Linked DNA regions of Drosophila melanogaster. The protein of the gene in region 2 interacts with the protein of the main gene of each other region in a pairwise test. Each region holds a gene or a part of one and is shown on either strand. Other genes may lie near its edges.

Region 1 (3,933 bases), on a different chromosome or scaffold from region 2:
GAGTCAACGTATTATTCAGATATTTTAATTTATAGCCGCCGCTTTGAAATTAGACGATCCGATCGCTAACATCGGGAAGTGGGAATGTGGTGATGTGGGGATGTTGGGAATATGTGTGAATAATGTGACCCGAACGGGTCCGTCGGCTGTCTTCTATTGTATCTAGTATTGATTTTCTTGGGGTTTCTTCGCCGTTGGCCCTATCATTTTGTTAGCCTTTTTTCTATATCACATTTCTCGTATCGATTTGGTCGGCTCTTGCTGGCTTCTTTTTGTTTTGCCTAATTAGGGGAGGCGGCCTTAATATGCCCATTAAAATTATGAAAATCATAACGAATCTCCGAAACGCGCATTTTCTCACATTACGATCAGCACATTAGTCATAGGCGGAAATTTCCTGACCGAAACCAGATTTTTAAAAAAAAGGCTCCATCATATCACGAAGAGCTGAAGGAACTGAAACAAAGTTTCGGGCATGGAATAGGTAACTCTATTGTTGGACTTGGGAGTCCCCGAAATCAATGAATAGTATTCCAATTAAAGACTTCTAAGATCCATTGAATCTGAAGCTAAATAAAGACTAGTATATGTGGCAAAATAATATCGGTTGATTATAGCATTTGGAAGAACATTTTAACCTTGTAAATATATGTAGAAGTGTAAGTGAAAAACAAAAGATCTGTCAAGTTCGGCTAATCGAAAATAGTGAACCAAACATATTATAACATATCTCTAAAGTCTGAGCTTTATAATGAAGAATGAAGATTGGCTCAAGAATAAAGTTGAAGCGATAACGAAAAAGAAAATAATTAAGCTTTACAGCGTGTTAGATCTTTCAATATTATTCCAAGTTTAAAGAGTGTATTTCAAATATGTCATAGATAATGTAAGACTTGTGACCTAATATCTCTGCTAAATAAACAAGTTGATAAGAGTAATCCCTAAGATAGATTCCCGCTCCCCCAAAAACTACTTAGGTCTACAGATTCCCCATGTAATCCGTGCTTATCTCTCGGCTCCACATTCCTTGCTGGATATATAGATTGCTACCGATTTCTCGATATCGGCGGATCGCACTCACCGAAAAAAAAACACAAACAAAACTAGAAGCAAAACGGTGCTGTATTCCAATGGTGACTTGTTTTCGGATCCAACTACTATATGGTTATGGCATGAGTATATTTTACACATGCATATATATAAAGATATATATGTATATTTATATATATATAAATATTGTATTCCAGAGATGTATGTTTTTTGGGCGATGTTTATGGTTTAGCACTGGCAACACGGTAAAAAAACAGATTCTCGTCACTTGGCACTGCGTTATATCCAAAAGGATATATCTCTCTGTATTACTTAGTATTCTCCTCTGGGGCTCTTTGTTTCTCTATAGCTGTGTTAGCTATAGCTTCTCGTGTTGATATTTGTTTATTTGTGTTTGATTGGTTTAGTTTGCTTCGATTTGATTTGATTCGGTTTGGCGACGGCGAATTGATTGTTGTTATTGGCTTGCGCTGGTGCTTGCTTGCTTATCGGCGAACGCGGCGAGTGGCGAGAGCGATCGAACGAGCGGCGAACGGGGCGAATGAGCAACTGAGCAACTGGGCGACGGACGACGCACAAAAACAACCCGAGCGGCACGAAAGTTACTCTGGAAATGAATTGCGGTACACCTTCCACGGACGATGGCAGCGGCGGCAGCAGCGCAGCGAGCAGCGGGCAGAGCAAAAGTCGTTCGACCAGAGTCTGCGAAAAAAGAAAAACAACAAGAAAAAATGTTGGAAGAAGAAGCAGGAAAAAAACAACAAACAAACACCAGCGGTGGTGGAAACGAGAGGGAGAGCGAGTGAGTGCCTGCTTTTAGCAATGGCTGCCCGGCTCTCTACCGCGCGCCAGAGTGAGATAGCCGTAGTTTCGCTCCGTTCCAGTCGTTCAGTATTTCGCTCTCTCTCTCTCTCTCACTCTCTTGCGGCATCTCTCTCGCACGCCGCTTACAACCTGACTGAGTGGGAGCGAGACAACTGCTGGTGGTACCGTTTGCTGAGCAGCTGTATTTACCGCTGTGTTGTTGCTGCTGCGCGTGTGTGTGCGCGCGTGTATGAGCGTGTGTGTACGTTGCTGGTGTGCGTTTGAGTGTGGGACCACACCCCAAAAAAATTCAGTTCAACAACTTTGTTGTTGCCACAAGAGCAAAAAACGAGGAGCAAAAAATACATAGTCATAAAAGGAGGAAAAAAAAGCAACAACGTACCTTCGTATTTTTGCGCGGCAGCAATGAAATTTTAATGAAAACGACAAGACAGCGAAAACAACGCAAAAATTTGTTAGCTAACAGCGAAAGATAAGGAAACGGGGGTAGGTGGCGACGGGCGTTTAAAGGACGCTGGTCAGTACCGCTACTTTTGCTACTGCTGCTGCTACTGCTGCTACTGCTTCTTCTTTAGCTTCCTCCTCTTCTACTTCTGCGTCGCAAATTGCCATGCACACACAACACCAGCGGCGAAAGCGCGACAGGGATGGGGAGAGCCAGCCACTCACACTTGGCACGCCCCCTCTCTTTCGCCCCAATGGGCGGCCCCCATTGTTCAATTATCATTTACGCAAAGTGAGGCGAAAAGAATCGAAACTTAAGGTGGATTTGGGTTTAAAGTCTAGTTTGCTATTCGTGGGCTAAGAATTGCTCAAAAGAGGTCTTTAATAAATGATTTCAATAGATATAGCTATTATAATTATGATTTAGTTTTGCAAAGCGGTTTTGTTAGTTTTAATTTTCAACTAGCTTATAATTATTAATTAGCTTATTTATAAATTCTCTACCATGGCAGTCTAACTGTAAATGATATTTTCGAGCAACCAACACTTTTTGTGCCCAAACATTTTTTTCTGTTATATTTTTGCCTTGTAGCTGACGCAGGAATAAAAATTCGCAGAGTTGGGTGGTTTGGGGGAGCAGCGGAAAAAACCTTATCAAATTTTTATGACAATTTGAAATAGCTGACGACAGTTGTTTGGCCATCTCACTCGCACTAACGGCCCGCAGGTTTGGGCGGCGAGAAAATGTTGCACAAATATTTTATGGATTTTTCTTGTTGAAATTGCTGTGTGCTTATTATTTTTTTTTTATCCAGCTACCGCACTTTTCCCATTTCCAGGCGGGCAAATTAAATTGTTGCGGCTAATTGATGTGTAGATGAAACATGAGGCAATTACCCTTCGAGGGGAAAAGCTTAGCGCACAAATTGGGACTCGGACACAACGAACGGGAAATCTCGAAAAAAAAATTGTACAGAGAGCCCGAAATGAAATAAAACAAAAACCTAATTTTCATGAAAAATGTTGCGGGGAAATGTAAAATGTTTTTGGAGTAAAATTCACGGAGGCAAAAACTGCGCGCAAATGAAAAAGTTTTAGTTAGACAAAAACTGTAATTTACTTACACAATTTACAAATAGTTAATTTAAACTTTCAATAGGAAGTTTGTTTTTTTTTTCACTTCAATTTCAATTGTGAAAAACCAAAATTGAAATAAGACTTTAACAATTATAGGTCTTATCTTTTGGAGTATATGTAAGTAACTAACGCGTAAATTTCATTACATACGAATAAAAACTACAACTGCCAACATGAAAATTGTATCTTTTTTAGTTCGGCCTTTTTCAGCGTCAGCGAATAAAAAACGCAAAGCAAGTAAAAAACCGATTTGAAAATGAAAATACTCAAAGTTGAGCGCACATATGTACACGTGGGTGTACTTTTGCCATCATTTTTTATTTTCTCCCTATTTTTTTTTTCTGTTTTGTTTGTTCGCGAGTCGCCAGCCGCGAAAAGTTCGCCGCCATTTGCCCCAAAACATTTTTCATAGGCGACAGTTTTGATTGCTCCGTGGGGCAAGAAAAAAAAAAAAAAGAACTGTGAAGGGGCGGTGGC
Region 2 (3,040 bases):
TACGGAGAAGGGGTTGATTGTCCAGGAAGACGAGCGGCCAGGATCAGATGAGGAGGAGGCGGCCTTGATCGCACAGTTTCGCCGCCTCTTTGCGCCCATTTTGGATGATAGCTTGAATCTGTACTACCAACTCAACGATTTGGATGACACGGAGCACGTGAGGATCCATCAAACGGTAGCCCAGATGAATGATCTGACCAGCAGCGAAGAGGAGACAATGGTTACCCAGGTGAACAGTCCATCGCCACCGCCGGTGGGTGTGGAACTTTTGCTTCCAATCTCCAGCGACAGTTCGACGGCCAGCAGTTCTCTGTACGCCATCCACACTCCGTCTCCGGCTCATCCCAGTGGTGTGCTCCTGATGCCCCAGAATTTGGAGTCACCGTTGCTGTCCGGCAGTGATGCCATCACAATCACCGAGCAGGTAGAGCTGCATAATCCGCCACACCATCTGCAGCTACTCGAGGATGAGAACAACACATCCTGTTCGCTGTCATCGAATCTGACGGATAGCAAGACCCTGGATGGTCGCACCCCAATCGTCGTCTGATGGCTTCCATCTCCAATCCCGTTCTGCTTAACTTGTGATTATGTTTACACAGTCTTAGAGCTACAACAAACAGTTAGCGAAAAATAAGCCGCTTAATGTTTAATATAGTCTTAAATAATGTTTGTGTGTATGTGTCTGTCAAAGTTGTTTAAATATTAAAGGCGTTTATGCGGTAAGTCAAATCATTTCGAACATCATTTCATTGCTTAAACTATTTCAAATGAAGCTTCCAATATTTATAGAAACCCAGAAATTTTAGCAAATATCCCACCAAATACATTTTTCAAATTTCTTAGAACTTTTACTTATTTTCTCAAATGAAACAATGATATATACATTTCTAAAATATCTTTTCACAAAACTATTTTATTTGTCGAACGCCTGTCTTAATTCACAATTCGAACATTGCCTCTTTTCACTTTTAAGAACGTTTCATCCTTAAACTTAAACTTTCCAGCCGCATAAACGCAAACTTCATGTGTAACCTTTTATTTTCGCTTTTTAGTCATATCCACCCAAATCATTATCCCATCATCCATGATCTCCATCGTTTTTGAAACAGCAGAAAAGTATCAACATTGAGCAAATTTTTCTCACTTCGTTCGGATCGACAGAAGGATGTTGTATAGAAGAAAGTAGGCAGCCAGTTGGTCTGATGGGTCTCATAGAGTCCATCGGAGCCCCTAGGGACTTGGCATTAATAAATCTCATTTAGCACTCATGCACCTAGCGAAATAAATTGCATTTTCCTTGTTCTCGTTGCACCCATTCATAGGACAAATATTATTTGCTTCGTAGCTAAATTTACATGATTTTCATGGTCATAATCTTAAAACAAAAAAAAAAACCTACAAATAGGCTTAGCACAGGAGTCGATTTTAGTGTACAAGATGAAAATATATACTGATATTATAAATGAATAAATTGACATTTTAGCGTACTAGTTTAAGCTGAAAAAGTGTTAACAGACGAGCGCAATTCTTCTTCGTAAAGTTGGGCAATACGTATAATGAAAGGTATTTAAAAACATAAAATAAACATACACATATAATATAACTGAATCCGAAACATTCAACTTTTATTGAGTAAGTTAAAGTTAAATTATTATATTGTAATGGAAACAATATGGCAAAATCAAAAACATCAAGAATAAATGTTATACAAATGAAGCAAGTGTGTTACTTTATTTTCCTTAAACTACAAGCACGCCCGGTCATTTTCATTCCGATTTGGATATACTTTCTAAGTTTATACAAATCCCCAAAATTTCACATTATGAGACAGCAGCTGCTGGACGAGGAGTTCGAGAATCTGCGTCGCGTAGCGCTGGCCATATGCGAGAATCTCGGGAGACCAAAAGATCGGGAGATATGTCGAAGCACTCTAGAAGATCTGGCCAAGTTCCGCCAGGGATCGTCGATTAGGATTAAGGAGAATGTGCATAAGTTCCTGATGTTCTATCTAAAAGTTCTGAGATGGTCGTACAAGAATCAGCCAACGGATCTATATCGCAAATGGGTTAATTACATTTTTCAGTTAAGTAGCGATCATTTAGTAAATGTTTCAATTTTTCAGTATGGACAAAACTTTGGCAAGGACCCAAAGTCTGCCCCATCGGCCGGCAATTCCGAGGATGAACAGCGTGTTTGGTTGGAGGAGGGCAAGTCCTTTTACGCCATGAAAACATTTGAAGATGGCTCCACAGTTGTTTACTCAGCGGTGGTTAAGGATGCGAGAGCTGGTTGGTCGGAAAATGGTCTGAAAACTCTGATGGAAACGCAAGTGGGCTGCGCTTTGAATCGAAATGAAAATTGAATTGTTTAATACTCTTAATATAGTATATATTTTCATATTCTGTGTGTACAATTTACTGGTTTTTCGATATGGTAGTGGTTATTCGGATATGGCAGGTAAATACTAGTAATAAATATGTCAAACGTAAGCATTTTCGGAATGGTCATTTTTTAAAAATCAAATGTAGTAAAATCATTTTGAAAACATGTTCATTAAGTTAACTATATAAAAAGTACAAGCGACATAGGAAATTTACAATTGTTTAACGTTACTTTTCATTTAAATATTTTAGCTAGTTTTGGTCTGTAAATTTACCTGCCTCTTGTTTGGATATTGTAGATAACTAATGTACCTATACGATTAAAATGTTTTCAACTTTTCGACTTAATTATAGGCAGGAAAAAGGTGGACGGAATGTGTTTTTGATATCAAAAGTCAATCCTAGCTTAGATATCATGTGGAGTGGCGAAAAGGCACTTATTGCGTGTTTCGTTTGTGGTGAGGATAAGCCTGGTTTTCCTATTAACTTCTAAATATTCTGGAGGCAACGCCAATCAACAGGAGTCCCAACAGAAGCTGCAGGGATCCGTGCATTTGAACTAAGCTGGAACCATTGCAGCTGTCGCTGGAGCAGTAGCACTCCTCCCAGTACACTCCGTTTTCGTAGACTCCCCAGTTACAGACGCCAACCACTCC

What was found.
Region 1: the proteins of CG17217 (region 2) and oc interact in a two-hybrid assay, tested with the Drosophila melanogaster proteins (one large-scale study listed by BioGRID).

The regions. Positions count from the first base shown.
Region 1 is NC_004354.4:8,649,013-8,652,945, forward strand, and holds the start of oc (ocelliless), read right to left. Parts: upstream 1,670-3,933; 5' UTR 1,363-1,669; exon of another isoform or gene 1,082-1,362; intron 1-1,081. UniProt on the Drosophila melanogaster protein: Transcriptional regulator involved in pattern formation and cell determination in the embryonic CNS and larval imaginal disks.
Region 2 is NT_033779.5:12,168,832-12,171,871, forward strand, and holds CG17217 (uncharacterized protein), read left to right. Parts: upstream 1-1,718; 5' UTR 1,719-1,825; coding exon 1,826-2,068; intron 2,069-2,125; coding exon 2,126-2,365; 3' UTR 2,366-2,401; downstream 2,402-3,040. Other genes in the region: CG6583 (uncharacterized protein), read right to left, coding at 2,867-3,040.